Linked DNA regions of Ovis aries. The protein of the gene in region 1 purifies or fractionates together with the protein of each later gene. This does not show direct contact. Links are inferred from orthologs where the notes say so. Each region holds a gene or a part of one and is shown in the gene's direction. Other genes may lie near its edges. The genes, in order: OCIAD1 and SLC6A8.

Evidence for each region.
Region 2: the proteins of OCIAD1 (region 1) and SLC6A8 purify together in Homo sapiens (co-immunoprecipitation; 3 studies listed by BioGRID and IntAct, with this or other methods). This does not show direct contact. The link is inferred for Ovis aries from reciprocal best matches to the Homo sapiens genes OCIAD1 and SLC6A8.

Annotation. Positions count from the first base shown.
Region 1 is NC_056059.1:68,188,847-68,192,654, forward strand, and holds the end of OCIAD1 (OCIA domain-containing protein 1), read left to right. Parts: intron 1-457; coding exon 458-610; intron 611-3,202; coding exon 3,203-3,240; 3' UTR 3,241-3,732; downstream 3,733-3,808. UniProt on the Homo sapiens protein: Maintains stem cell potency. Increases STAT3 phosphorylation and controls ERK phosphorylation. May act as a scaffold, increasing STAT3 recruitment onto endosomes. Involved in integrin-mediated cancer cell adhesion and colony formation in ovarian cancer.
Region 2 is NC_056080.1:80,584,633-80,589,098, reverse strand, and holds the start of SLC6A8 (sodium- and chloride-dependent creatine transporter 1), read left to right. Parts: upstream 1-1,592; 5' UTR 1,593-2,253; coding exon 2,254-2,515; intron 2,516-4,046; coding exon 4,047-4,178; intron 4,179-4,466. UniProt on the Homo sapiens protein: Creatine:sodium symporter which mediates the uptake of creatine. Plays an important role in supplying creatine to the brain via the blood-brain barrier.

The DNA of each region.
Region 1 (3,808 bases):
TGCTGGAGTTGTTTGTATATATATAGGCTGGATACAGTAACATTTAACTATGGAACTATTACTGAATCTACACCATGTCTAGTTTTGTTCAATTGTCGCTAGTAGAATATATTTCTCTTTAATTATATAAACTGTATGAATAACCTCCCAGTTTAGAGCAACACTAGCATTTTAATGAGTGAATTGTGCTGGTATATATTATATCCATCCTTCTTCTGGCCATGGATAGTTTAAAAAAATATTTTTTTAACTTTAGAAATATAAGCTTGAAAGCGTAAGAGGAAGTAGATTTTGGTTTTATAATTACCTTGGGGAGAATACAGAACCTTTGGAATACTGGTAATAATCTGATCCTTCACTTTAATTTTTTAGTAGGTAAGAAGCATTTGTAAACTTTAGTTGCTTTAGATTTATTCAAATCCTTTTATCACCATTTATTAACTGTTTGTTGTTTTAGGACCTGATCCCAACATTGAAGAAAGTCCTAAAAGAAAAAATATTACATATGAGGAATTAAGGAATAAGAACAGAGAGTCATATGAAGTTACTTTAACACATAAGACTGACCCCTCAGTCAGGCCTATGCAGGAAAGAATGCCAAAAAAAGAAGGTATGATAGTCTAGTCTGAATCACTTTACTCTTTAGAATTAGAAACTGCAGCACTAGTTTAATTATACTAACGTGTGATTTAATGCCTCAAGCAATTAACCAAAATAACATTTTTTAAGATGGTAACTATTAATAGTTATCAGTTCTTCCTTTTTTAGTGTTCCAAAAGCCATTTTATGTTAGAAAATAATGAAGTCCAAATAGTATGGCTTAAAACAGTAAGACTAAATTTTTAATGTAGAAATTATACAAACATTTGATTGTATGAGAAGCCACCTTGGGAATTGACAACATTTTTTAAAATGATGTATCTACTGCATAAAACCAGATTGGATTGATAATGCCACTTTTGGCAGAATCACAGAATCCTGATTGAGTAATAAAATGATGGTCCTGTATGTCTATGAAATTGAAAGAGTTACATGCTTATGAACTAGCTTTTAGGGCATTTCCAAATAGGGAGTTTGACTTTTAACAGTACTTTGTGCATAGTTGCTCAGTTGCGACCCCATGTCCTGTAGCCCACCAGGCTCCCAGGAAGAATACTGGAGTAGGTTGCCATTTCCTCCTCCTGTGGATCTTCCTGACCCAGGGACTGAACCCATATCTTACATTAGCAGGTGAATTCTTTACCACTCAGCTGCCAGGGAAGCCCCTAAACAGTACTTCACTCTATAATTAATTAATACATAGAGATTTTTAATATCATGATTTAAGACTTTTTGGAGCAGCTGCGCATAACCCACAGTAAATTTTCTGACACCAAAGATTTGTCAGTAACAAGAGGGCATTTTGAATAGGGCTTTGTAGCTGTTTCAGTATAAAATTTTGTAATATCTTTCTTGAGGAATTTTAGAGGATATATCATTGTTTCAAGGTTTTCTATTTACTACTTTAAAAATTAAAGGAACAAAAATGTCCTTTGTACCTTCTTGAGAGTATACCACAGAGAATGCAAAAATACATTAAAAATACTTGGTATTTTTTATTATGATCATTCCTTTAGAGCTAGTTTTATTTCTAATCGGTAGTAATTGTTTCATTTAATCCTATTTTACAACAGTGATCCACCTCTGTTATATTATTGATGTTCTTTGCAGCTTTAAAATAGATTTGTAATCAGCAATACTTGTTAATGTTTGCCGTAAAACATAAGCCTTATGTATTTAGTAGTTATTCCTCTGTAATATGTGAAGATTCACTGGTACTCTGATCTTCTAATTAATTTGAGAATTTAGACTGTAAGCTCCATGAGGGCAGGCGGTAGTATTCTCATTTTTGTAATCTGCTCTGCTGTGTGTCTGCATAGCATAGTGCCATTGTTTGATATGTCAGAAATGTTGTGTTTTGGTTGGGCCTTCTAGTGCTAAAAACCAAGAAAAGATAACATGGTAGATGAGTGATATTTGCTGGATTTGGACATTGGTGCTTTTGGCTGTGAACAGTTTTGAAGTTTTGTTTCATGATACAGTGATGTGAACTGTTTTTCTTTGTAAAAAGAAAGCTTTTTGTGTGTGTGCTTTATATAATTTAAAGAAAAAAGTTATGAACAGTTCGTGATTTCTGTTCTAGAACTTAGACAGAAAATTAACAGTACAATGTAGATTCACTAGGTCAGAAAGTGTCATTTAAAAATTCTCAGCTTTTGTTTATGTGGATTATATTCGTTGTTACTTTAGCTAGTTAGAAATTATGGCAGAAATTTTAAACATCTAAGCGTATTTTCAGTTAGCTGTCAGCAGTGATGTTCCCACACATCATGTAGCTCCGTGAAAACTGCCTTCTACACATAAGGGAAGAAGAGCAAGGGGGAAAAGCAGAACAATGTCTTAGTATAATAATGAAATAATTTTGACTTTAAAGACTTCACTGAAAAAGTCTTGAGGAAGGGAATCCCCTTATACTTTGATAACTGCTTCTTGACATTGTTGTGAATACTTGGGTCTTCCGAAGAGTTATAATTCACAGATGATGGCTGTGTAGAAGACAGGCTAAAAAGTAAGAGTAGAAAAGATAGAAGAACATATTTCAAAATATAATATCACATAAAATACAAAAATACTGGAAAGCATTTCCTCCTTGTACTGGTATTAATCTCCTAAGAGAGATTAATCTAATCTGAGATTTCTGTGGAAAATGGCATTCAAATATTCATTATTGTTTTATTTTTCATTTACTGGTAACTATTGTGCATCCTGTAATGTATACCATGCTTGCTTTAGATGGTAAAGTTGTAAAGGTACCCAGGCTTTGGACCTAAATAGACCTGTGTTCACGTTTCAGTTCTACCTATTTTATTAGGCTTGTACCTTGGGCAAGTTACTAATCTGTTTTCCTTAGAACGGGGGTTATATTTATTTTATCAGGTTGTTTTAGAGATCAAATACATATGTAAATGTCTTGATACTGTATTTATGTCAAACCTCCAGTTCACAAAAGGCTAGCCAGCCCCTTTTTATAATTATAATTTGACTCTCATGTACATTTATTCAAATGAGAAACATAATTTAAGTCATAATAATAGCAAACATAAAACAGTTCCTTTCACTTATTACTATTTGGAATCATCAATTATTTGTGCTTTTTTCCTAGTCAAAGTAAACAAATATGGAGATACTTGGGATGAGTGAAAAATTGCATCATTGGACCTACTGAAGGAATTTCAGTATCCAGCTTCATCTAGGTGGTCATGAACATCTGCATGCTTTGAGCTCAGCAGCAGTCTTCATAAACACATTTAAAACTAGAACCTGGGTTTTTGTGGTTTGGCTTATTGAGATGATGTTTTAAAAACTCAAGACTTCAATATTAATATTGTGTGAATATAGTCATTTGGGAAACTCTTTGAATGATGTTATTATACCATGATTATACATAGTTTATGAAATTGTTTTAAGTTACAGGACAAGGATACTCTGTTATAAAACTTTCAAGAGAATGTAATGCTCTACAATCACTGCATCTGGAAATAAATGATACCTGCATGTTGAATTGGGGTGGGGGTGGGGAGCAAGCATAATTTTAAGTGTTAAACTTTACATCAAAATTATTAAAATGCCTTTCTCCAGTGTTTGCTGTATTCTCTTAGTGTTTATGGTAAATAAAATATAAAGCAACGTGTATCTCCGTTGATTTTATGGTCTTATTGTTTCTAGTCTGCCTGTGTGCTAAATTGCTTCAGTCGTGTCTGACTCTGCA
Region 2 (4,466 bases), on another chromosome or scaffold:
TCCTGAACTTGTCCCAGCAGTCACGTCACCCAGGTCCCCGCCACAGCCTCCCCTCAGAGGCATCACCCCACCCGCCCTGCAAATGGCGTTCTGCCCCTTCCCCTCTGCCTGCTTTGCTTATATACTCTTTTGCTCTCTCCAATGTGTCTGGGGGTGCCTGCGCTTGATTGGCCCCTGGCTTTCTCAGGCCATCTTTGGGTCCCATACTCCTCAGTTGCCTGTCTCCCAAGCTGCTTCACTTTGAGGCTGGGCCAGAGCTCCAGATCGGGGCTTCTGAGGAGTCAGGGAACCCTCGTCACCTTGGGAAGGGGGGTTCCCTGAGCCCCAGGCCCCGCCCCCAGCCTGACCCCTGAGACCCTGCCCGTCTCCCCCAGCGGCCAGTCAAGGCTCCCGGAGCGAGCTCGGCTGGAGATGCTGCCCCTCCCTCACCTAACAAGCTCAAGCTGGCTCGGACCGGAACTGCTTTTCTTCCTAAAGCCGCCCGGAAGGCTGAGGGTTTAGCTTAACGGGATGAGCCATCTGGGGACTGCAGGGCGGCGCGCTCAGGGGAGCCTGGGACTGGGGGCAGGGGGTTGGGGGTGGGCACAGCGCGCATCTGCAGCCATGATGGTGACCCCTCCCTGCCCCCTCCTGGGGCTGCTCTCAGTCCTGGAAAATTCCAAACAGGCGGCTCAAGGGCTGCTGGGGAAGCAGCTGAACAACCTGGGTCCTGCTGATCCCTGGGGAGAGAAAAGCGTGGAGCGGAGGCCTTTGGGGGAGGGTCTGTGCACCTGCCAAGCACCAGAGGGCACCCTTACCCTATAGTGCCACAGTCTCCTGCAGGTCGGGCACGTGGAGGGGCCGCAGGAATCCCTCCCACCGTCCACTTGGGTGAAAAAGTGCGGCCTTGTCCATCGGCCAGTCAGGCTTCCCTCGGCCTGTTCAGGAGAGTCAGCGAGTGCTGTCACTCCAAGCGCTGTCACTCCGACAACCGGGACACTGACAGACCAAGGCTGTCTCCCTGGGGGGTGTGGAGGACCCAAGGGCAGGAGACAGGGTCTCAGCAAAGCCCCTGAGCACACCTGGAGACAGACCCCCACACCGCCACCGCAGCCTTTCTGAGGGGGCTCGCTGGGCCCAGTGCTTCAGCAGGTAGAAGCAGCCTGCACCCCTGAGGTGGTGCCACGGGGCCTGAAAGCTGGAGGCCTTGGTACCCAACCTCGGCTGGGACTCAGAGATGGGCCAGGCTGCAAGAAGGAGGTTGGGGCGGGGGGCGCCCCAGGATGTCCAATAAGGAAGCCAGGCCAGCGGCTGGCCTCGAAGCGGGAAGGGCAAGTGAGGTGGCTGGACGGTGCTCCGGGCCCGGAGGAACCCGGGATCAGGGGCGGCTGGGCCCCGGGAAGGAGGCGCTGGCGGGCGCCCCAGGTAGCGGGCGGCCTCCAGCGGGAGCGGAGTCTCTGGCTCTGGAGAAGGGCGGGAGGAGGTGGGCGGGGTGACCAGGGCGGGGGGGCGGGCACCCGGAGGGGGAGGGGGGAGGCCCGTCCGCGGGGGGCGGGGCTAGAGTGACGTCACCCTGGAGACGGTTCATAAGCGGCCAGTAGTCCGGCCAAAGAGGAGAGGCGAGATCAGAACGCGGTGGCGAGTCGCTGAGCTCGCTGCGGCCGGGAGAGCGGCTAAAGCCGCTGCCGCCGCCGCCGCCGCCGCCGCCGCCGCCACTGAGAAGGAGGGGCGAACGCCTAGGCCGCCGCAGACGCGGGAGCCGCAGGCGAGTCGGGCAGCCGCGCCGGGCCGGGCCGGGCCGCAGCGGGGGGGAGGGGGGGAGCGCGCGGGAGGTGCGGGCCGCAGACTCCTGCTCCTGCTCCGGCCGGCCGCTTGCAGACAGGGGGCTGCGGATGCCGCCCGCGCCCCGGCTAGGCTGAGCCTCAGGCCGGGCGAGCAACTGCCGCCGCCGCCGCCGCGGGAGCTGCGGGCAGGAGCCTCGGGAGCCGTCGCCGCCGCCCGATCGGGCCCCGCCGCCGCCCGCGAGCCCCCGGGCCCCCGACACACATGAGATTCTTTAGGCTCACTTTCAAGTGCTTCGTGGACTGCTTCTGACCGCGCCGCCCCCGCTGTCCCGCACCCCGCCCGCCTCCCGCCCGCCGCCCCGACCCCCCGGTCCGGCCGTCCTCGGCCCCCGGCGGGCCCGCGCCTTCGGGGCCTTTATCCCCCCCTGCGCCGTTGGCGACCCCGCGCCTGTCTGCCCGCCCGCCCCCGCGGGCCACCGTGCCCCCGGCCATGGCCAACAAGAGCGCGGAGAACGGCATCTACAGCGTGTCCGGCGAGGAGAAGAAGGGCCCCCTAATCGCGCCCGGGCCCGACGGAGCCTCGGCCAAGGGCGACGGCCCCGCGGCCCTGGGGGCGCCCGGCAGCCTCTTGGCCGTTCCGCCGCGCGAGACCTGGACGCGCCAGATGGACTTCATCATGTCGTGCGTGGGCTTCGCCGTGGGCCTGGGCAACGTGTGGCGCTTCCCCTACCTGTGCTACAAGAACGGCGGAGGTGAGCGCCGGGCCCCTCCCTAGCCCCACCGGGGCAGCAGGGCGAAGTCCAGGGGGTGGGGAGGCCCCCGGGCCGGCGAGGGAGGGGAAGGGCCGGGGGGCCGCCCCTTGCCCGCCGTCGCCGCTCGGTGGCCCAGCCAGGCGGCCACCCCCCTGGCCGGTCATGTGCCTGGCAACGTGGTGGGGGAGGGGGCCTGCGAAGGAAGCCTCGAGCTGTGTCCGCCCCCCACCCCAGCACCACCACCCGCAAGTGACTGGCCACTGAGGTGGCCGGGCGAGGCCTCCCGCCTCGGGGGAGGCCTCAGAGGTGAGGAGCCCTGGATGCCCCCTCCGATCAGGCACACAAGTGGCACATTGTGCCGGCCCCCCACGTGTGCACACACGAACACACACACAATGGGCCACTCTGTCCCTCCCCCTGCCTTCCCCTCCCTTCCCTTCTCTCTCTTCCTCTTGCCTCCCCTCCCCTCCCCTCCCCTCCTCTCGAGCCTGGGCCTGGAACACTGGGTGCCGGAGCCAGGCTTGGGAAGCCGGCAGCCCGGGCCGCCTGGCGCCATTGCTGGACACACTGTATGCACACCCCATGCCTGCCCGCCCCAGCCCAGCTTAGCAACAGCGATGGGCACGCGTGTGTCCTGTGACTGCAAAGCAGCCCCAGGGGGGTGGTGGGAAAAGCCACAGGGACGAGGCGGCAGGCGGGAAACTGAGGCTCAGAGCAAAGGCCTTGGCCCAAGGTCATAGCAGGAGGATGCGGAGACCGCAGGCCCAGCCAAGCGGCAGCCAAAGCTTAGCCTTTTGAGTAGTTGCCTGGTGAGCTGGGGCAAGGGTCGGGGGCCTGGAGGGGAGGGGTCCTCCACCCCCATCCTGGGCGCTCCTGTCTTGTTGTACCTGCCAGGCTCCCCCAACTTGGTCACTTCCTGTCCTTACTTAGCAACCCTTTCAGATACCCTGCACTCTGCTCACTGGTAGACAACTCTACCCACCCACCTTCTTCCTGGGTCTTCAGATGTGCGGGCAAGAGGCTCCCTTCCCTTACCCAAGCCCAGTGGGTCCCCAGGCCCGAGTGCCAACCACAGCCAACAGGCATGAGCATGCACACTCATTCATGCCCTCACAGTTCCTTCCTCTGCCGCCCAGCAAACTGCGGCTCAAGGGGTGGCTTGTATCCACAAGTGCGTGTCTCTGCCGTGCCCGTTAGTTAGCTCACCCTCGGTGAGTAGCGGCCAAAGCCCTATAGGGAAAAGGGGCTCTTAGGAAACCAGAAGGAAATGGGGTTCTGCCCGATGCCCCCCCCCCCCCCCCCGCAAGACTATTCACCTTGGGCTCCTGAGTCAGCGGCCACCCCTTATACTGATTCACTCAGTGGGAAGTTATCATGGCCTGGGTGGAGCCTGAAGGTGGGGCTCCACCCACCCCCCAGGGCTTGGGAAGGCCCTGGGCTGTCTTACCGCACTTGTGCAGTTCTGGTCAGGTCCCCTGCCTGGCCAGGGGGCAACCCTGTGCAAGTGCCCACCTCCAGCTTTGTTCCCCAGGTGTATTCCTTATTCCCTACGTCCTGATTGCCCTGATTGGAGGAATCCCCATCTTCTTCTTGGAGATCTCACTGGGCCAGTTCATGAAGGCCGGCAGCATCAACGTCTGGAATATCTGCCCCCTGTTCAAAGGTGAGCAGCTCTGGCAGCCCCTGTGTGAGCCCTGTGGACCTCTGCCTTTCTCCACCCCTGGGACAAAGATGGTGTCCACTACAGTAAACCTCATCCTGTCCGAGCACCAGGCTTGGCATATGGCCCCCAAGCTGCGAGGACTTGAAGACCACCTACCTGGGTGACCCTGGTGGGGGCAGAGAGGATGGACCTCTCCCCGTCCCCGCCGGGCGAGAAAGCCCTGTCCAGCACCCTTGGGGCTGGAAGGAGGGTGGCTGGGTGTGAGACACGATGGCAGGAAAAGCTGAA